Pelodiscus sinensis: one gene and its partners. The main gene of each other region encodes a partner of the protein of the gene in region 2 in a complex. Links are inferred from orthologs where the notes say so. Each region holds a gene or a part of one and is shown on either strand. Other genes may lie near its edges. The genes, in order: RAC2, NCF2 and CYBB.

Region 1 (7,154 bases), on a different chromosome or scaffold from region 2:
AACGGAGTTTTCAGCTTAAAACGGACCCGTCGACACTGCTTGTTTTTGCACAAAAACTTCTTGCGCAAAAAGCATCGGCAGAGAATATGCAAATGACAGTGCAACCACTGCTAATGAGCGCTTCATTAGCATACCCTCTGCCGGCAAAAGCCAGCAGCGTAGACATAGCCTCATAGTCACCACACACTCCTTCCAGCTGAAATGGCACTTCCGAGCCAGGCTGCCTGCAGTGAGGCTGCTCCTGACAGTCAAAGTTCTCTTCACCCTCCTTCTCTGCACATCTCACAGAGTCATAAGGTTTAAGGTCAGAAAAGCCACCAGATCATCTACTCTGACTTCCTGTATGTCAGGGTATGTCACCACAGCAACTAGACACCTGTGGTTGGCCCATGCCAGGCTCACTGAGTCGGGCTGTTTCATTGCTAGGTAGGCTTCCGGGCTTAGGCTGGAGCCAGACTCTACAATCCTTCAGAGTGGCAGAATCCAGAGCCTGGGCTCCAGCTATCTAAACAGCAATGAAACAGCCCCACAGCAAGCAGGTTTTTCTTTGCTGTGCAGACAAACACTCCGAAGTGACTAGCACCACCACCACCCAGCTTTCAGTGGACCATGGTGGGCAGAACAGGAACACATTCTAATCACGAGAAGAAGACACTAACTAGTGTGTGAGAGACCAGGCCAAAGGCACTACAAAGAAATGCCAGGAGAGCAGGGATTTAAACCTGTGTCCCCCACAGTCAAACTGAGTGCTCCAAGGCATGTTCTCCAGAAATTTCATTGTGGACCCGAGACACCATCTCAATGCATTGACATTTTCTGTCCAAAAAAAAAAAAGTTTCATGGAAAAGTTTCCAACCATATATAGTGGAGAGCCAGGGAACCAACTATGAAGGAAAAAAGAGAGGACCAGGAATCACAGCCAAGACAAACAAGGAAAGCTAAAGGGATGTAGGGCAAGTCATTCAATCTTATCCTGCCTCTGTTTCCCCATCAGTAAAATGGAGATAACAATACTGATCTGGTGGGAGGCAGCACCATGAAGTCCTGCAAGAAGCTGATGAGAAATCAGATCTGGTTATTAGGTAAGGGAGGAAGGCTGGCTTGCTCTCTCCACACAGGATACGTGAGTCACTGCTTAGCATATGCCAATTTCATCGACAAAATCTTTCTAAGACTTTCTACCCAGCCCTAGTGTTTGCCCCTGCAAGGTGGCCTGGAGGGCAAGAGAGAGCAGGCATGAGTCACAGGGTTACAGCCCCCATTGCTGCATTGTGCAGACTCAGGAGGAATTGGAGTGCCTCTTGTGCCTCTCCCGTACATTTCCTCCTTTCTACTTTTGCTACCTTTCTCTTCTCCCTTTCCTCAATCTCTCCCACACTCTCCATCACTGTATGCCTGGCTCCAGCCTCTCAGCAGAAAGGGATGGGAGGTTTATAGGGCCAGTGAGGCTCTCCAGAGGGGAGGGAAAGCAGAGGTGTGGGGGAGGCTCTGAGGTTAGCAGAGTGCCAGTAGTGGAGGAAGTGATGGAATTAGCAGTTCTGAAGGAGAGTTACGGGTGATTGTGCTGGGGACTGATTACGGGGATACAGCCATTGAGCTATGGTGAGTTTATGGGGATAGCAGTTTTGGAGGGGGCTCTGGGCTGGTAGAGCTTTGGGGAAGAATACTGCTGTTGTGTTGGAGGTTAGCAGGGTTAAGGGACAGGAGGTGGGGGCAGTTGTGGGGTTAGTCCCAGGGTGTTTCCTGTGCGAGTTGTTTCAGGTACAGCTCCATAATCCTTAGTTTCTGATCTTTATGGTACTTTCCTGACCCATAGCAATATTTGTTTGGGGTTTTCTTTGTACTGTAGTTCTCTGCCCTTCCTCCACCCTTGCTGCCTGCCCCTGCCTCCGCCTCCGAGGTGGTTTCTAAAATTTAATCACTTGTCTGCAAACTTCCTCCTGTGGCCAGTGGGAAGGAGGAAGTGACTGTGGGGTGCAGGGCCTCTAACAATGTCACTTCATCTGCCCCAGATAACATCATCAAAACAGCTCCCCGCCTGAAACTGGCTTCACTCTGAGCGCCAGACGTGACTCCGGTCTCACAGACACTCTCCTGGGCCCTGGATGCTTGTTTCCCTGCCCAGGGGCAGCAGCCCTCTGGGTACTGCCCTGAGGAAGCTGCTGCTCTTGAAGGCCTTGGCAAGGCCACATACATGCTGCCCAAGCAGTGGATAAATCAGGTGATTATGCTATGCTCAGCTGCCTGGGTTTCATCGCCTCGCACAGCCCAGGCAGACGGAGCACATTGTGCCCCTCAGCGGCAAAAGGGAAAGGAACATCTTGCTGCTGTATCCATGGAAATTCCCCGGAGTGCCCCCTTGGACCCCCCCCCCCCTTAGAGAAGGCATGGGAACTCAGATCCACAGGAGGGGACCCACAGCGCTCTCCATTCACCACTGCCACCATGTGTCGGTGCCCTCCCCAGTCATGTGTGGTGTGGCCCAGTAGAAGGGAAACTAGTCTCCCCCACCTTATTTTAAACCTGGCTCCCCTTCCACCATCAATAGCCGCAGAGGAGGAGACACTGTAAAGGGGGCACCTTCATCTAGGGGAGAATAGCCACATAGGTTGTCTTTCAGCGGCTCTTTTCCACCTGCTCTGAAAAGTGCCCTTCCCCAACCCCGACATAATGCACAACCTCCATCACAGGCTGCCCCCTCCCCTCCCCCCATACACCCTACCTGACAGAAAAAGGGAAAGCCGTTCAGAGGAAATCGAAAGCAAAGAAGGTGACATTTCACTAAGAACCAACCTTCCCCCTTCTTGCCCCCCTCCACCACAAAAGAAGGTACATACCCATCTCCCACCACCACACACTTGATGGCCTGCATTTCTCAGGCCTCACGGAGGAGGATGGCTCCTGGGGCAGGAGAAGTCAGGCAGACTTAATGCTCTCAGGTGACCAGAGGAAAGACCTGTACAAATGTAATGTCAAACCTAGCGTGAAGGAAGCAGCAGATTGTGAGGAGGGAGGAAGTGGAAGATAGATAGAATGTTACTTAACCCTCCACGTCAGTCCCCCCTCCACCCAGTAGTTCAGGCTACAGCTAAAAAAAGGCGGGGCCTGTGCTAGTGTTAAGACTGCCGACTTTTTAATTGCTTGCCCCACCTCTTTCCCTAAAGCCCCGCCCCTCCTCTTCCTGAGACCCCGCCCCTGCTCACTGCTCTTCCGCCTCCCTCTACCACTCACTCTCCACTCCCCACCCCAGTCCCACCTCTTCTGGGACTTACCTGCTGCTCGCAGAGTGAGATTGGGAGAAGCTAAAATGCAGCCTGCCTGGGGCTCAGCAGGGATCATCCCCATAGTGAGGGGCCAGGGCAATGAGGGCACAGCAGGGCAGTGTAAATGTAAGAACAAGGCCTTTTTCTGTAGCCATGTTGTAAGGCCTAAAGCCTACAGCCCTCATCTGCAGCCAGATGGAAAGAGCAGCAGCCATTAACTAAGACGCAGGAAGTCGCATCCTCATTCCGCCCAAATTACATTAAAATAGTGGGATATGAGTGGGGCTTAACGAGAAAGTGCACAGCTGCGCTGCTTAGGGGGAGCTTCGGACCTGATCCTGCTTGGCCAACAGGAAAAGTTGATCTGTCTTACTGTAGGACTGTTAAATAGGATAGTACTGTGTGAGGCTCTTCCATGGATAAAAGACCCTGCGAACCCACAGAGTGTTAGGTTATGCCGGAGCCCATGGAAGGCTGAGGGTGGGTGCCTATAGTGGAAGGTAATTCTTGAGCCATAGAAACAGAGAAGAGTGGGTGTCCCTAGAGTGTGAGGCTGACCACATTTTATGCAAGTAACAGTTGGGGGAGGGAGGGGTGAGCAGACCGGATCCTCCTCTACTTCTTGGAGCCAGATCTGGAAGCCTGCCACTGCTCTCTATCAGGCATCAGCTACTGAGCAGAGAGCAGCGCCTCCATGTGCCTCCGGCTGCAGCTGCTGCTTTTTCCATATCCCCTCTCCCGTGGTGGAGGCCAGTTGCGGACGGCACGCTGCCAGGTTCCCTTCTCAACTATACATCCCAGCTGCAAACCAGACACCTGGCAGCCCTAATGCACCTGCAGTTTAAAAACCAGTTTCATGTCCTGATGACCTAAGCAATTTTTTCTACACCTTCTGTCCCCCTTTGAGCAGCAGGGGGTGCTGTGCTGCTTCCAGTCAGGGGTTACATTAAGGAGGAGAAGGAGGGGACAACACTCACTCATCTTTGCAAAGGGAGGGGTCCCCTTTGCATTCCGGCTTCCCCAGAGCCCCCTTTCTTTCAGGCAGGTGCAGTGAGCACTCCCTAGGCAGGGCAATCTGCTATGAGTGCAGAAGAGGAGTGGGCTCCTGACTGATTTGTTGCAGGGCCTCCCAGCCTTCCTGGTGTCAGGTGTGAGCAATAAACTCAGAGACAGCTGAACAAGGAACTTTCTTAGAATCAGGAAAGCAGCATTATCTCTGCTGCTACTCTGCTTCTCCCTCTGCATGGCTTCTGCCTCTAGAAGACCTTTCCCCGCTCTCCACTCCTGCCCAGATTGGTGCTGTGAAGAAACAACACACAGGCTACATCTATACAGCTTCCCTCTTCTGCAAAAGCTTATGCAAATGAAGCATAGATTAGCATATTGCCCCTCTTCATTTGCATAATTAATTAGGCACTGTTTTTGCACAAAAAGGCACCATGTACACAGCACCTTTTTGCACAAAACCCCCCTCTTGTGCAAGAGCCATTCTTCTTGAAAAAATGAGGAAGAACGGCTCTTGCGCAAAAACCTCTTCTGCAAAAACGGCTCCTAATTAATTATGCAAATGAAGCACAGCAATATGCTAATCTGCGATTCATTTGCATAGGCTTTTGCAGAAGAGGGAAGCTGTGTAGATGTAGCCATATATGTTCAGATATACAAGTAGGGGACCAGCAGGCACAGCCCTTGATGGAGGAAGAAGAGGTGCCCCAGCCTGAAAAGTCCTATTCATCTCCTTTCCCCTACACTAGGGGCTCTCAAACTTCATTGCACTGCAACCTCCTTCTAACAACAAAAATTACTGCACAACCCCCAGAGCAGAGATGAAAGCCTGAGCTTGCCCAAGTCTCACCACTCCACATGGGGAGCCAAAGCCTAAGGGCTTCTGCTTCAGCCGTGGGGCCCAGCCAGTCTAAGCCAGCCTTGTCAGCCCCATTAAAATGTGATCCTGACCCACAGTTTGACAACCCCTCCCTAAAGGAAGATCTATGTGTCCCAGTTACGTTCTTATATTTTGCCTGTCACTGTGGGATTGAAGGGCCTCCTTGGCTGGTTTCATACCATATGGAGTATCAGTCCATCTTAAACAGGTGACATTATTAAACAAGTCAGTTACAACTATAGGACAACCAGGCTTCCGCACAGCTTGAGTCCCAGCTTTGTCTCCTTGGTTTTCAGGGATCACCCCCTGCCTGGAACTTTATGCAATCCACAGAGACATCTAGTGGCAGAACAGCATAAATGCAAGCACACACAGATCATTACAGACTCCTTCCAGCCAATTTGCCTTGCACTCCTGAGCAGATGGCCTCCCTTCCACCCAATCAGCCCGCATTCTTCTTAACCATGGGACCCTCAGCTGGCTGGTAGGGATGTGGTTATATAACAAAAGGGGAAAGCAGCTTAATCTGGGAAACACGCACATGCCATGGATGGCCAGGCTATGAGCCATTCAGAGAAAATATAACAAACCAAATAGAGAAGGAGATAGCAGTTCACTAGCTATATAACAGGGTTGGCCAAACTTACTGACCTCTTAGCTGCATACAAAAATCTTCAGAAGTGTGAGAGCTGGGTGCACCAGCTGGGGCTCAGGGCTAGTAGTGTCTGTGGGACACGCCAGCCAGTGCGTGGGGCTACAGGCCTGCAGGGCTTGCAGTTTCAGCCACAGTCCTGCTGAAGCCCCAGCAGGTGTCTCCTGCAGAGCGGAAGGCCCAAGACCACTTTCCCCATAAGGCAGAAGCCCCTAGCTCCCCACATCCCAGTCTCATAGAATCCTAGGGCTGGAAGAGACCTCAAGAGGTCATCAAGTCCGGCCCCCTACCAAAACCAGGACCGACTCCAACTAAATTACTATGTCTACGTCTACACTGCACAGTTATTTTGGAATAAGCTACTCCAGAATAGTTATTACAAAATAGCTTATTTCAAAATAACATGTCTACACTGCAGGGAAGCCTCAAAATTAGTCCGAGGCAGGCTTCCCTAATATAGACGTGTTCTCTCAATTTAGAGCCCTAGGAGGAATAACTTAGAGTGGCTCTGGTGAGGGGCTATTTCGAAATAACAGAAGTGGAGCATCAGGTATATCTACACACAATTTTTATTTTGGGAGAAGGGTGCAAATAGCATTGCGCATTTGCATACTTTCTCCAGGGTTTTTTCTTTTTTTTGGAAGACGTTCTTCCAGTATTTAACCGCGTCTACATGTGTCTAAATTTCTAAATAAACTCCTATTTCTAAATAAAATCCTATTTCAAAAGATCCCTTATTCCTCCTACAATGAGCTTTACAGGGGTCTTTCAAAATAGGGGTTTATTTTGAAATCTGGACGCATGTAGACATGGGTAAATACCGGAAGAGCATCTTCCGAAAAAAAACCCGGAGGAAGTTTGCAAATACGCAGAGCTATTTGCATCCTTCTCCTGAAATAAAAATTGTGTGTAGACATACCCGATCTTCACATACCTTATTTCAAAATAGGTGTTATTCTTCATAGAATGAGGTTTACAGAAGTTGGAATAATGGAATTGCTGTGTAGACGCTCACATAGTTATTTTGGAATAACAGCTGTTATTCCGAAATAACATTGTTGAGTAGACACACCCAATGGATGCATCTACATTTCAGGGCTTACTGCGAAATAAACTACGCAAATTGAGCTACATTAATTGTGTATCTTATTTCGAAATAGAGAGTGTCTACACATCACTTATTCCGCCATAGAGCACTCTTCCTCCTACTTCCCTTACTCCTCGTACAATAAGGGTTACAGAAGTCGGAGTAAGAAGTCCTGTAGCTTGACAGTATTTTGACACTACTTCGAAATAACCGCCTTCTGTGTAGACATAGGCTAAGTTATTTTGGAATAGTGTTGCTGTGTAAACG
Region 2 (7,609 bases):
CGCCTAGTGCAGGGCAGCAGCGGGGGTCGGGCCTCCAGCGCTCACCACAGCAGTGTGGGCCGAAGGAAACGGAGCAACGCAACCAGCAGCCGGCTCTGCTCCACCACCACCTCCCCGCCAGGTTGCTCCGCTCTTCTGTGGAGCAGGAAGCAGCGCGCCCCAGCCTCTGCCCGCTCCCTCAAGCGACACAGGGCTTCTGGGGGAGCAGGCGGGGGGCTCTGCTTCCTGCCGCCGTGGTGAAGTGACCCACATGGCTGCAAGATGGAGATGGAGCAGAGCAGGCTGTTGGCTGCATCGCCCCACTTCCGCGAGTGGGGGGGGGGGGCTTGACCCCTGTTGCTCGCCCTAGGCCACCTTCAGGCTAGTGTCCATGTGGGGGACCATCCCATCCATAGGACAGTTGGGGTAACCACTGTGGGCCAAAGCTTGGGGCTGGGGTGGTCATCCCGAACTGTCCTGTGGATTGGATGGCTGTGGCTATTGATCAGCAGCTGCTGCTCTCCAACTGCCCAGCTCTGGGGTCCCCCCTACAGAGCCAGATTTCACGAGGGAGATCAGATTTCATGGCCCATGATGAATGTTTCCCAGCCATGATTTTGGTAGGCCCCTACTAATCTGGGTACAGAGGCTGATGTCTCGGGGGAGGCTCATGGTGGTGGTGGGACCCGTCCCGGACTGAGAGAGAGAAAAGACCAGGCCGCAGAGAGCTCTTCCGCTTCTCTCCCCAGATCTGAGTGCCCACAGCCAGCCCTCACTGGCTATCGCGAGGGGCTCTCTCAACCCCTTTTTGACCTGCCAACCACCCATGGGGGATGGGTACCTAGAGTCCTGGGATTCTGCTGCTTTCACTACCACTGTGCTTTGTGTCCCCTGGTGACCCCTTGTGTGTGGCACCCACTGGCTGAGTGATGCTGGGTTAGCTTCCAACCCCATTCCCTCCCCTCCTGCGCTTCCCAGCTGCCCTTGCTTGTCTCAGGGACTCTCAGCCCCTGCACGCCCTCACCTCACAAGCAAACAGCCGGAACTGCAGCCCCAGGATCTTGTAGTCTATCAGCTGGTTCCCTCGCAGCTGGGCCAGTGCCTCTTTGAAGTCCTCAATGGCCAGTTTGTAGCTGTAGAGCAAAGAAAGGTGCAAACTCTCAGGGCACGGCTCTGGGCTGCCTGCCATCTTTCACGCCCTCAGAGCCCGGCTCTAGCCTGAGTTGCTGGGAGACGACCCCCGCCAGCCCGTGGAGTACTGATGGCCGTTTACCATTACCCAACTCCTGGGGCCAGCTGGAGTGGTTCTCTGCCTCGAGGGACTCAGCTGTCAGATATTTTTGGTGTGACTGTGTCCATGGCGGTTTGCCAGCCTGCTTGCCAGCTTGGAAGTCTGTCCCCCTCTCCCTTCCATCCAGGCTCTTTCCAAACCCACAACCAGGGTGAGCAGCATCGTCGCTGCGCTAGGCGGCTGTACAATGTGCCAGACAGGCCCTGCCCTGCAGGCTTTAGCCAGCTCATCGTCTTTGTTTTTGGGGGTGTCTTTAAAGGCACTGGGGTATTCCCCAGGTTCCCATCCCCACTCGCCACCCACTAGGCCTCCGCCTCTAAGAGAACCTGCTTCTCTTGGGAGGTGAGTCCTAGCTCTAGTTACTCAGCTTTGGCAGCACAACAGGACGGCCTTGCCAAATGGCTGCTCTCAGCCAGCCGGGAACCAGAAATGGCTCTGTCTAGAAGCAGCACGACACCCCCCCCCCCCCTCCCACCGGAGATTGCCAAACACTCACTTTTCTCTCCTGTAATACACGGTCCCCCGCTGGAAATAGGCCACGGCCAAGTGCTTGTCGCAGTGAATGCTCCTGGAAAACGCCTGCAGAGAGCAGAAGGTGGTTCAGACCTGGCACAGGCAGACTGGCCGAGAGAGGCAGGAGGAGACCTGGACACTGACGGGGAGGTCAGGGTGGAGCCTGTGCCCATGCAGAGCAGTGGAACGTGCTGAGGGGAGACCCTCCCAGTGCTGAGGGGAGCCACGAGGGCAGCGTGAAGAAGAAAGGGGAACATGGAGAGAGGGGAGACAAGGGGAACCCCCCCACACATCCTGCCTGCCCCTCCGTTACATGCCTGCTGGGTTTCCCCTGACCAGTGTTTCTGATGCCCCAAGTGGAGACTAGAGCTGAGTGGGAAACTGGAAAGGCCGCCTAGGCCCACGTTGGAATTTCTCTCCCCGACCCCCCATTGCTCTAGGGCAGCCAATAGCCTGGTGCCCAAGGCACTCGCTGGGGCCTGGACAGCTGGGAGCAAGTCCCTGCTCTGAATCAAGAAAACCATTTTCTGCCCGGCTCTTGCTGGGTCCCATGTGTCAGCTGAATTTGAGCCGAGCGGAAGGCATGAACTGGGCAAATGGAGGCATTGTCGGCTCCCTCTCTTCCTAACCAGGCCCATGCACTCTCAGGCCAGCAGTAGCTGAATGGGCACTGAATGCCCCCTCTCCTGCACCCCCCCGCCCGCGCTGCACACGGTCTGGCCAGTTTGCCGCCAGCCCCTCGGGGTCGTGCCGAGGGCCCTGCTGCCCGTCAGGCGACAGCACAAGCCAGGGGCTGCACCTGCTTGTCTGCAAGTCGTCCCAGGGGCCAGCCACCCGCCTCAGTCCCTCGGCGTGTCAGGGGCGCGGTAGCTGCCGTCTGGGCTTTGTGGTGCACCAGTCAGACCAGCCTGTGGAAGGGGCCTGTGACAGGAGGAGTGTGTGTGTGTGTGTGTGTGTGTGTGTGGGTAGGGAGGGGGGGTTCTTACCTCCTCTGCCTCAGTCAAATTCCCCAGGGTCAGGTGGATGCAGCCAATGTTAAAGCAGAGTTTGGAAGGGGGGTTCTGCACTGTGGTGAAAGCACCCTGCGCGGCTGCCCAGTCCTTCCGGTCAGCCGCGCACACTCCCTCGTTCCACAGTCGGATGGTCTCCGCCAGAGCCATGGTGCAGCAATGGGGTCAGGACGGGCCTCCCCTTGCTGCAGCCCTGCTTTGCTCTCTACAGCCTGCCCCTGCCCCTGCCCCTCTGCACCGCTCTTACTTGTACTTCTGTGTTTCCCCCGGAGCCCGCAGTGTCGCAAACCAACCAGGAAGTGTCCCCACTGGTAGTTACTGACTCAGCCCTGCTGTGATGGGGAAGTGGAGCAGATGCTGGCCAGGGTGAATTATTTCCTAAACGTATTCTTGGTGTGTCACTCTAACTACCCCCCCCCCCCCCACACACACACACACTCTCCCCCTCGCCACGGCCGCCCCCACTGCTTTCGACTTTGCTTTGCAGGGATCTTCAGCTGAAGTCATGCACATCTGTCAGAGGGTGGTTGTGACTTGGGGGGTTGTGCTTGTCATAGTGAGTGTGACCCTGAAGTCGTGGCTGAGTCACAGCGCACTGACAATGCAGCCTGGAGGAATCGGAGCATCAATGCCAGGGCCCCTTGAAAGGCAGCCTGAAATGTCCCCACGGCTTCCCCAGGGCAGCACCTAGCCGCCCTCTGGTGCTGGGTGCATCCTCTTCACTGCCCTCCAGGTGTGGGAGGGGAAGTGCAACCCATCTAGCAGGCTGAGGTGACTTAAAACAAGGCTGAAATGCCAAGGTGTGTTTGCAGCAATTGTGGGACCAGGCCTGTCACTTTGGCTGAACTCAGCCTGCAACAGCTTCTCCCCAGAAATGAAAATGCTAAAACTCCTGCTCTTGTCCTGCTTTAATGCTGGTTTTTCACAGTATCATGACTCCATCGCTCCTTTGGCCTGTGCTTCAAGTGCACTTGTTCTGTCACTAGGGTTACCAGGTGGCTTCCAAAAAAAATACCGGACACACTTCATCTCAGATTGGGGAGGGGGACCGGCCAGGAGGGGAGTGAGGCTGGCTGGGAGGAGGTGGAGAACCAGCCAGCGGGAAGCAGGGCTGGCGGGGTTGGGGGCAGTGGGGCTGGCCGGGGGAGACCGGAGAGGGGAGGAAGTAGGGCTGGCCGGGAGGGGGTCAGGGAGAGTGGAGCTGGCCAGGGGAGTGCAGGAGGATTGGGGGGAGAACCAGCCGGCGGGAAGCAGGGGAGATCAGAGGAGGGGCGGACCAGCAGGGCTGGCTGGGAGGGGAGTGGGGAGAGTGGGGCTGGCCGGGGAGGAAGTGTGGGGAGAGAATTGGCCAGCAGGGAGCGGGACTGATCCGGTTGCACGCAGATCCCAGGGCGCTGCCCATCCCGCGCATGGTCCCGGTGAAGTACGAGCAAGTCTGGCCCCGGGGATTCCCTCCCGTCCTGGCCCCGCGCCCCCCTCGTGTAGTTTCGTACTGCCTGGCTGGTAGACATACTCACGCAGCGTGAACGTGTCTACAGCCAGGCAGTTCTCAACTACACACTGATACGCCTAATAATAATCAAACGTACCGAATTAGAAAATACCAGACAGTTTATACGTCCGGTATTTTCTCAATTTGTTTCCTGGACAGAACCCTCAAATACCAGACTGTCCGGTTCAAAACCGTGCACCTGGCCACCCTATCTGTCACGAGCAGCACAGGCTGGATCTTTTGAGGGCTTTGTTCAACCTCCGGCAACTCCTTTCTCTGTGAGAAGAACCGTTTCCTCTCTTTTCTGTGCCTTGCATTCTTCCTGGCTCAGGGCCCAGCTCTGTTTGGGCCTACAGTTTCCATCACAAGATAAGAACCAGCCTGCAGAGGATTTTGGTCCTCAAAAGCTGTGAATTTGACCCTTTTTCCGAGCACTAAATTGACCTGACAGGAGGCAGCACAGACCAGTGCAGAGAATATTAACCTGGGTGTCCAGCAACCTGTGCTCTGTTCCCAGATCTGCCACTTACTTTCCTTGGCACTGGAGCCCTGTATTCTTGGGCAAATGACTGCCCCTTTCTGCCTGAGTTTCCCCATGTTTAAAATAGGGATATTTATATTCACCTTCCTTCCTAAAATAGTGTGAGATCGGGGAACGCAACTGTTGTTAAAACTCCAGCACCGTGGCTACATCCTAAGTAACTCTCATGCAGCCCTGGATAAACCTGTCAGAAATTCTTTTGTCTGATTTCTGCTTTTGCGTGGGTGGCGGGGGAATCTGTATTCCTGAGAAACGGTGACTCATTTGTAATCAGAAATACAATACAGAGCATCTCAAGCTCTCTCTCTCTCTCTCTGGCTCTTAGGTAACAAGCTCAGCACCATCAGCATCTACTCAGGCACAGCTTGGGGACTATGATCTCCTGCTTCCGGAAAAGCGCCTTTGCACGGGTGAAGAGGCATCGAAGGAACGGGGTGGGAAAACAAACTCCGTGTGAGTGTGGAAACTCTTCTCTGTGGGGCCCGTGGTCGCCTTTTGTGCAGGAGTCATTTAAAATGTGTTTAAAATAGACATTTAAATGCTCAGCGGCAGCGAAGCTGCTGCTTACTTCCTCCTGACTGTTCCTTCCATCTTCTGGCTCGCCATGCAAAGCAGCTTGTTATTGGGCCCTGTGACGCTGGTCAAGTTGCTTCACCTCACTTCTGTCTGCCAGCTTCCCCTCCCGTCAGTTTGTGTAGGTGGTTAGCTCTGCTAGTGCCTGGGGCCCTGCGCTCAGCTGGCGCTGCTGGCTGCCACGGTAATAGAAATAAAATCAATACGAGAGACAAAGACCTTTCGTTCCAAAGGACCAGAGCTTTATCCATGAGAGCAGCAGCTTTTCTTATGCCACATCAGCTGACAGAAAGGTGAGAGCATCTGAAAGGTACAGTACATGCAGGGGTGGCCAACCCATTCCGGACAAAGAGCCAAAATAGCAGTGGATACAGCGCGAAGAGCCAGGGCAAAATAGTTGAGGAAAAGAAAAAAAAAAGAAGTCCCTCCACACCCCTCCCCCCAAGTTGTTGGGGGGAAAAAAAAAGGACTGCCCCCTTAAGAAACGCATTTAAAGGCTCCCACTGGCCACCGCCATCTTGAAGATGCCATTTTGAATGGCCATGCTGGACGGCTCCCCTGATCCAGAGAGCACAGGGAACGATGGCTTCCTTCTCCAGAGAGCACAGGGAGCCGGGGGCCATTTTCAGGGGTGCAGGGGCGGCTTCGTGAGCAGCACTTTCGGGGGGGAAGAGCTGCATGCAGCTCGCGAGCTGCGGGTTGGCCATGCCTGGCCTAGTGCATCCATTTTCCCTCTATTAAAACAAAAACTAAGCAAACGACCAACCCCAGCAGGTAGGTATTCATCTCGACTTTCAGTGCTGGAGCGGGTGTCTTCCTCGTGGTACCTGCTTGACATAATTGATTTGATGTAATTGTTTCATTCTATGAGGTGGTAAACTTCAAGAAAACCTGGCACTTCCATTTGCTAACATCTTGCTTCCTAAAATCCACTACAAACACTGGGGCTGTGTCTAGACTGGCAAGTTTTTCCGCAAAATCACACGATTTTGCGGAAAAACTTGCCAGCTGTCTACACTGGCCGCTTGAATTTCCGCAAAAGCACTGACGATCTCCTGTAAAATCATCAGTGCTTTTCCGGAAATACTATGTTGCTCCCGTTCGGGCAAAAGTCTTTTTCCGAAAGACTTTTGCGCAAAAGGGCCAGTGTAGACAGCATAGTATTGTTTTCTGCAAAAAAGCCCCGATCGCGAAAATGGCGATCGGGGCTTTTTTGCGGAAAACCGCGTCTAGATTGGCACGGACGCTTTTCCGCAAAAAGTGCTTTTGCGGAAAAGCGTCCTGCCAATCTAGACGTGCTTTTCCGAAAATGCTTTTAACGGAAAACTTTTCGGTTAAAAGCATTTTCAGAAAATCATGCCAGTGTAGACGTAGCCTAGCCTTCACAGCACCCCTGTGAGACAGCGTAGGCTACAGTGGCCTTCCTGAAATGCAGCCACTTCTGGGGCTAGAATGCAGCTGTTTTCTGTGTACACAGTGCAATACACAATAGCTGAGTAGTTTTACCTTTCAGACTGGTAAGGGGGGAGGGATGCAGAGCAGTGACACTGAAACCTTCCGCTAAGCGCTTTGTGTGCCATGAGTTTTATCTGCTAGGGATGATCGTAGACTCACAGGAGTGTAGGAGAAGCAAAATGCAGGACAATGTAGCACTTTAAAGACTAACAAGATGGTTTATTAGGTGATGAGCTTTCGTGGGCCAGACCCACTTCCTCAGATCAAATAGTGGAAGAAAATAGTCACAACCATATATACCAAAGGATACAATTTAAAAAAATGAACACACATGAAAAGGACAAATCACATTTCAGAACAGGAGGGAGATGCGGGGGGGGGGGGGGGGAAGAAGGAAGGAAGGTAAGTGTCTGTGAATTGATGATATTAGAGGTGGGGAGAGTGGGATGTTTGTGAGTTAATGGTATTAGAGGTGATAATTGGGGAAGCTATCTTGGTAATGGGTAAGATAGTTCGAGTGTTTGTTCATTCCTTTTTGGAGAGTGTCGAATTTTAACATGAATGACAGTGTAGGACTGGAAGGGAATGCGAGAGGCTGTCTAGTCCAGTCCCCTGCCCTCAGGGCAGACGTACATAACCAGATTGTTCCTGACAGGTGCTTATCCATCCTGAAGCAAACGTGGCAACTACTTTGCTGCATGCTGGGGAGATTCGACGTCCATGCCATGATGCCTTTCTGAGGAATCTCTCCTTTC
Region 3 (7,256 bases), on a different chromosome or scaffold from region 2:
GGTTGTAGGCCTATGGAGGAAATAAGCCATAGTACTGCAGCCGTTCACTGAGCATCCCCTTTAGCTCAGGTGCGGCCATGTGTGGGGCCCCTGAGGCCATGTGTGTGTGTGTGAGCTGATGACCGTTACTAATGGCAGATCTTCAGTCAGATTCCCCTTGTTGGCAGCCAGAGTTGAAGCTGCACCAAAGGGCTGGGGTCACTTTAAACTGTAGGGTGACCCTCTCCCACAATTTCCACAGGTAGTTATAAACTTATTCCGAGTTTCTGTGAAATCCCTGCCAGAGCACACAGCTCAGCAGAGCTCACTGCATTCGCTCATTTCTCTGTGGCTTGCCCCCACCCTAATGATTCAGATGTGGTTTCTGCAACAGGCCCTGCCTTCCCCCATCCCCTTTCAAGCATTGTAATAAAGATTAGGGCCAGCCAAGACTATAAAGGCCTATTTTTGCTCAATGGAGTTCCACTAGTATTAAACGGAATGCATGAGAAGAGAATCAGGCCCCGGATCTCCATTAGAGTCAAAGTGCATAGTAGGAAGGAAAATGCAGAAGAACTCCTAAGGCTGCATTTCAAGTCCTACCAGGGGAACAACACCCAAGCAACATGTAGTAACATAACAATGAACAGTGCTGAGCACAGTTCCAAACAGACCCTCTAAAGAAGCCGTCCCTCAATGCATTTCTAGAACTGCAATCTATTTCAAATAACTCTTTCTTTTTCTTACTCTAGTGAAAATACACTTTTGTTTTAATTCAGATTGTATTCAGCTCTTGTGAGGGAAACATGCCAGAACTCAGCTACTGTGAGCTTCTGCTCACTCGAATCACTGACCATGACAGCTTGACAAATCAATGTATGTATGTGCTATCTGGATGTCCTTACTGCATATTCAAATGTGTCATTACAGGCAATAGTTAACAGTAAATGACAGGCACAAACCATTCCTACAAGTTCACATTTCAGCCACCACAGATGTTACATTTCAAAGTCTACATTTTTTCCTATTGGTATACAGAACATTAGTTTTAACAGCATCTGGCAGCAATTCTGTGACTAGCTCTAGGTACTGTTATTACAGAACTAAAAATCTGTATCTTTTTAATCATTAGTATTTTCTTAAGACAGGCTCTTTAATGTGAAAAAAATGTTCAGCTGAGCTTTTAAATATGAAAGCATCATTTATTTTGCCTCTGGTAAATTAAGGCCTAGATCCTGCAAACACTTGCTCACATTCTTAGTATGTCTACACCGAATTCCTCTTTTGAGAGAAGAATGCAAATGCAGCTGAGCGAAGTTGCAAATAAAGCGTGGATTTGAATTTCCCATGCCCCATTTGCATAATTGCATCCAAGCACTATTTCAAAATACCCTATTTTGAAAAAAGAAATGCTGTCTAGATGCAGTTATTTCGAAAGAAAACCCTTCTTTTGAAATTACCCTTAAACCTCAAGTAAAGGTAATTTCAAAAGAAGGATTTTCTTCAAAATAACTGCGTCTAGACAGCGTTTCTTTTTTCAAAATAAGGTATTTCAAAATAGCGCCAGGACACAATTATGCAAAGGAAGTGCTGGAAATTCAAATCTGCACTTCATTTGCAATTTTGTTTGTCTGCATTTGCATTGCTCTCTCTAAAGAGGAATGCAGTGTAGACATACACTTAATTACAGGCTCCTGAGTAGTGGTTTCAGTGGGACTGCTCAGGTGTATACAATTAAGCATATTCAAAAGTATTTGCACTATGATTTTCCAGACTAGTTTATAGCTATTCATTTAATAAACCTATTACACAACATTAGTATTATTACATTATTTTAAGAAATTTGGAAAACAAATCTAAAAATCAGATTTATGATGTTCTAGCAACTCTTTTGGAGATATACAATCACTATTTCTCATAATTACACCATATATAAAGCCAGATTTTAAAATATCTTTAGATAGAAATCAACTGTTTGAAAGGAAAATACAGGCCTATACTGTAACAGGAATCAGGTTGAATTCATATCCTGGGTGTACTGGTATGTGTATACACACATATGAATACATTCACTATGTACTCTGAACCAATCTTTTGGAACATTTGGCTTTATTGATAAAATCAAACAAAATACAAATTATTAACCCCCTATCAAAGTTTTCATCACCAAACTTGACTTTTCCAGGTTAATCACTTTTTCCCAGACCCTAATTTCCCAACACAAGAGAGGATTTCCAACCACTTTTATATTCTGCTTCGAGCTAATTGAAACCCCTGGCTAGAATGATACAAAATTGTTTTCGCTGCATTTCCATGCAAGAGTCAAGCACAGCAAGTCTAAACAAAGTATCTCCACATGCAGAATCCCAGAATTTGCCAGTCTGATATAAATAGCCTACACTGAGTATTATTTATTGTATAATTCAGTTTCATTAGCATTTATTTCTAGATAGTCTGGTAAGGTATTGCCTTTTTTACATTCTTGGAATTTACATTGAAATGTAATACATCTTAGAGGGGTAGCCCTGTTAGTCTGCAATTTTAAAAACGAGCAGTCCTGTGGCACCTCAGACAAAGTGGGTTTTACCCACAAAAGCACATGATATAACATATTTGTTAGTCTCTAAGGTGCCACAGGACTGCTCGTTGTTACAGAAATGTTATTCTCTCTCTCTCTCTCTCTCTCTCTCTCTCTCTCTCTCATATATGTCATGATCACTATCCCATCCAAACACTTAACATATATAACAAATCAAAGGAGACTTAAAATAGAGAAAGGTATTGTACTTACAATGACAAAAATGGAGAGTCCCTCGTTCACCACCCAGTTGCCCATCGTTGCTGGGGAAGAGTGTGCACTGACTTTGCTCCTTTTCAGACAACTATTGTATCTCCTCACAGAAGGAAGTGAGAGCAGCTGCCTTGTTGCAACCTGTTTCCTCTGTCATTCATCTAGAAATTAGCTAACCATTGACCCATGCAATGGTTTGAATTTGCTATCTCTGAAAACACAACAGTGTAAGAACCCAGCCATAAATAAGGAGAGCTTGGAAATGAACAATTTCTTTTTCTTGTGTATGAGTTACTTTGGGTTATGCAAATGTCATTGGAGGGCGTTTCCATCCAACAACTTGGAGTGACTTTTTATAACTACAGCATTGAAGCCCTTAGTGCAATGAGAAACTAAACATGGTCATACTCCTCCTCAGTTCATTCCCCCGCCCCAGCATTACTCCCTGCCCCTCGCACACCTGCTGATCCAGTCTCCTCCTCCCCATAATATGTTACATTCCTCCAGCTCAGCATCCCACAAACGCCTCCAAAGATGATTTACCCTCCCCTTCCCTGATAGGCTAGCAACTCTAGCCCAAATCCTGGCTGGGATTTAGGCTCCTAACTTCTAGTGTTTTCAATGGAGGTTAGGAACCTAAATATGTCAGAGGAACGGGATGTCTTTTCCTACGGGCTGCTCTGCGCTTGGATCTTCAGTCAGTGCTGTGTGGACATGCCCCTCAGCTAGCCTGAAAGTGTTGCCAATTCTCCTGAGACTTGGGTGCTTTTTTAAAACGTCCAGCTCCTGAAAGCATGTGATTATGAGAGAATCTCATCTTAAGTTTTTGCTAACAAATAAAGTGGGGGTAGGGGAGACTCTAGACTTCATGTTTGCAGAGTGTGGAAATGTGGCCTCGATATATCCTATAGACTCAGGCACCAGACAGCAAATACAGTGAAGGCCTCCCTCCTTCCCCCACCTGTAATGCCTTTTGAAAAGCTCATATTTTTTCAAGACCATCTCATGATTTTTGGAACACTTAGCACGGACGATGATGTGAGTCCCAAATACAGTAAACTTCCGATAATCCGGCACCTTTAGGACCCAGAGGATGCCGGATTATCAGATATGCTGGACTATAGGAAGGGGGGGCTATGAGGAGTCTGGGGTGGGGCTGGGGGGGATAAAGGGGTGGTGCTATGGGACCAACTCAGCACCCCAGCTGCTCTGCCCCGGGCATACCCAAGTCAGCCGCGGCTGAAACTGACCAGCGGTTGACTCGGGGAAGCCCGGGGCAGAGCAGCTCCAATTGTCCGGCTGCCTGGAGCACTTCTGGGTCCAGGTGGTGCTGGACTAGCAGGAGTGTCGGACCACTGGATGCTGAACAACTGGAGTTTTACTGTACTGTCCAAAGCTGGATATAAATACTAGCAAAAAGGTAGATAGGCAGTAATGGGAATCAGAGATCAAGGATCAGGGAATCTCAGATAAGATCAGGACTCCTGCCTGTGATAATTTCCCACTTCCAACAGTGTTCCCCACCACGAGCATTTCTGATGTGATCCACCTCCCATACCTAGGCAAACAGAGAGCTCCCAAGGCTCTGTCAATTGGCTTTGACAGAAATTCACCAACTGATACCAGCTGAGGATCTGGCTGAATGTTTTGAAGATAAACATTTGCAGTAGTTAGGTGCTGATTTTGGGCTGCTCCCCGGTTCCTCTGCACAGCCAGAACCAGTCAAATTTCCCCATCAGAGAAAATCAGGCCTCCACTTTAAAGGGGATTTGCTATTGCCATAGAATGGCCCTAAGGGAGAAAAGAAGGTGTCTGGCCAGACTGCCCTAAGTTCCAGCTGTTCTGGGCTTCCAGCCAAACCACTGGACTCAACTGAAGCCAGGGCATAAGTTACATGGACCAGGAATGATTCCTGGCCTCTCAGGAATCCAAGAATCACCAAGCTTAGCTCAGCCATGGCCCAGAGCTGACTGCAGCACTTGGCAATGTCTGATCCATGGCATTTCCGAGCAGAGTGGACAGCTCAGACATCTCGTTCTGGTTTTGTAATGTCCTGTTAGCACAGGTATATGGACGGAAGAGCAATTTCTCCTTTGCCATGGTATGTTACTGTATAATTAGTGTCAGAATAAAAAGGGTGGTAGTAAGGGCACAGTTGAAAAAAGGCTGAGACCCTCAGACATCAGGGAAGGCAAGTGGAAAGGCCACTTAGATTATTTGACGATTTTCTTCTGTAAATAGAAGCTCCCAGAGAAGAAGAATGTCAAATGCCTCACAGGAAGCGAAACTTAACAACTGAAAATATTATTCTCTTCTATAAGCAAGCGAAACATGCTTCTCTCCAGTGGGTCTGACAACCCGAAACTACCACACTCATGATTACCTCACAGAATATGCGGTAACTGGCCGCCTGAGGTACAATGCCCCCACTGAGCTGGGACAGCTGCTTGGGAACAGACTGGAGCAGTACACTCAGTAAGTCTAAATGAAAGATGGATGTCAGCAACTCTCAGAGGTGATGTGTTCTATGGGAGAAATCTTGGCCCCATTGTAGTGAATGAGAGTTTTACATTGACTTCAATGGGACCCTGATTTCCCCATGGGTGACTAATTCATAATAGGCAACTGAACCCTGAGAAGCCCTTGGTTCCTTCCATGGTACTTCCATGTTCTATTATAGTTACTGAACTTACTCAGTAAGTGTTCATAGAATATAGAATAATGTTCTATTATAGTTAATGAAACTCCCTGCATCATGTGGGTGTAAGCTTTGTGGTCTGCTTGCATTTACCATGCATGACACACAAGACAAGGAAGCATTGTAGGGAGGGTTCCTGGGAGTGAGTTAGATGGGCCGATGGTGCCCTGACACTAGAAATATTCCAGCAAAACTCACTGCCTGCTCCCTCAGCCTCTTGCATCCCCCAGCCTCCCTGTTGCCCCCACACTCCCACCGTGCAAACCCCGGCCCTGCCTGCCACCCCGGGCAACTTAAAATATCCCAGGGGCCCCTGCCATCACCACCAGCAGTGAAGCAGGGGTAGGGTGGCTTCCTCCTGATAGCTCCCTGCGGCTGCTGGTATGTTTATCCCTGTGGCTGGTGTGTGTGTGTTTCTGTGCACTGCTCACACTAGGGGACACCTGGGGTGGGAGCAAGCAGGGGTAGCAGGCAGGCAGCTGTTCCTGGAGACCACCACCCCCTCCAGGAGCCACTGCCGGGGGTGGTAGTGCCTCAGGTTGGTGTGGCACCCCACACTCCCTCCCTCCACATGCCATTATGCACTACACTCCCTCCAAAACCTGCGCCTTCTCCCCACTTCCCTCATGTTCTGCTCCAAAACTCCCTCTCAGAACCTGCATCCAGGCCCCCAGTGCCTCAGGCCAGAGCCAGCATCCACATTCCCTCCCAAAGTCTGCACCACAGATCCCCTTCTGCACTCAAACTCCCTCCCAGAGCCGGCACCTTGCATTCTTCCTGCATGCCAGTGCCCTGATTCCATCTCAGAACCTGAATCCCAGATCTCCACCTGCATCCAAGCCCCACTGAACTCCACCCCTCATCCTTCCTGCACCCAAACTCCCTCCCAGAGCCAGTAGCCCTTTCTGCCTCTAATTCCCTGTTTTGGCCCACAGCCTGCACCTGGCACCCAAACTCACTTCCAGAGCCCTAACCCCTCCCCACCCAAACTCCCTCTCACAGCCTTAAGCAGGAGATTAAATGGGGGAGGGGAGTGAGCTCTGGATATTCTGAGTACCAGCAACATTTCTGCAAACCTGCCACCTCTGAAAGAGAGGGTGAGATTGCAAAACAACAGCATTTCCTGTGTTTTCATGCTTTACAATTTTCTGTTTGCATAAAGGTTTAAAATGGCCAGTTGAATAGGGAAAGATCTATGCACAATAGCTTGCACATCTTTGCAGTGAAAACTTTCCCTTGTACAATGTCCCCTAGATACAGGTCCTTGTGACGGGTTGGATCGCAGAGGTCCCTATGGGTTTGTTATCTGTTGTGCTGATCAAGTCACTGATGCCTGCCTTCCTGCCCTCTGGTGCTCTCCATACCCTGTCCTGCTGGGCCAGAATCTCTGATCTCCTCCACCCAAGGTTCAGAGTTTGGCTCACCCTAGCAGAGCTACACAGATACCAAACTAGCTCAGCCCTGGGAGGGCTCAGCTATAAGACTGTTGGCAGCACCCAGGAATACAGCCCCCCAAAAAGGACTGAAACCCCAAATAAATCCATCCTATTCTGTAGAAGAGTTTTACGCAGAGAAAGCTTATAAGCTTGCCTTCTTTATCAGTGAAAGAGAGATATACAGAGGTTGTTCTCCCCTCCCCCTGCATTTGATAATAGAAAAAAGTGGGTTTATTAAGTATAAAAAGTAGGATTTAAGTGACTGCAAGTGACAGATCAAAGTATGTTACTTAGCCAAAATAAACAAAACACGCTATCAAAGCCTAATACACTAGGGCTGTGTCCACACTCA

Evidence for each region.
Region 1: NCF2 (region 2) and RAC2 share a complex: the UniProt entries of both Homo sapiens proteins name them as parts of the phagocyte NADPH oxidase complex. The link is inferred for Pelodiscus sinensis from reciprocal best matches to the Homo sapiens genes NCF2 and RAC2.
Region 3: NCF2 (region 2) and CYBB share a complex: the UniProt entries of both Homo sapiens proteins name them as parts of the phagocyte NADPH oxidase complex. The link is inferred for Pelodiscus sinensis from reciprocal best matches to the Homo sapiens genes NCF2 and CYBB.

Annotation. Positions count from the first base shown.
Region 1 is NC_134711.1:92,838,586-92,845,739, reverse strand, and holds the start of RAC2 (ras-related C3 botulinum toxin substrate 2), read right to left. Parts: upstream 3,073-7,154; 5' UTR 2,873-3,072; coding exon 2,838-2,872; intron 1-2,837. UniProt on the Homo sapiens protein: Plasma membrane-associated small GTPase which cycles between an active GTP-bound and inactive GDP-bound state.
Region 2 is NC_134719.1:57,237,415-57,245,023, reverse strand, and holds the start of NCF2 (neutrophil cytosol factor 2), read right to left. Parts: upstream 3,074-7,609; 5' UTR 2,944-3,073; coding exon 2,770-2,943; intron 1,850-2,769; coding exon 1,767-1,849; intron 1,113-1,766; coding exon 1,004-1,112; intron 1-1,003. UniProt on the Homo sapiens protein: Subunit of the phagocyte NADPH oxidase complex that mediates the transfer of electrons from cytosolic NADPH to O2 to produce the superoxide anion (O2(-)).
Region 3 is NC_134711.1:196,970,283-196,977,538, forward strand, and holds the start of CYBB (NADPH oxidase 2), read right to left. Parts: upstream 3,023-7,256; 5' UTR 2,816-3,022; coding exon 2,771-2,815; intron 1-2,770. UniProt on the Homo sapiens protein: Catalytic subunit of the phagocyte NADPH oxidase complex that mediates the transfer of electrons from cytosolic NADPH to O2 to produce the superoxide anion (O2(-)).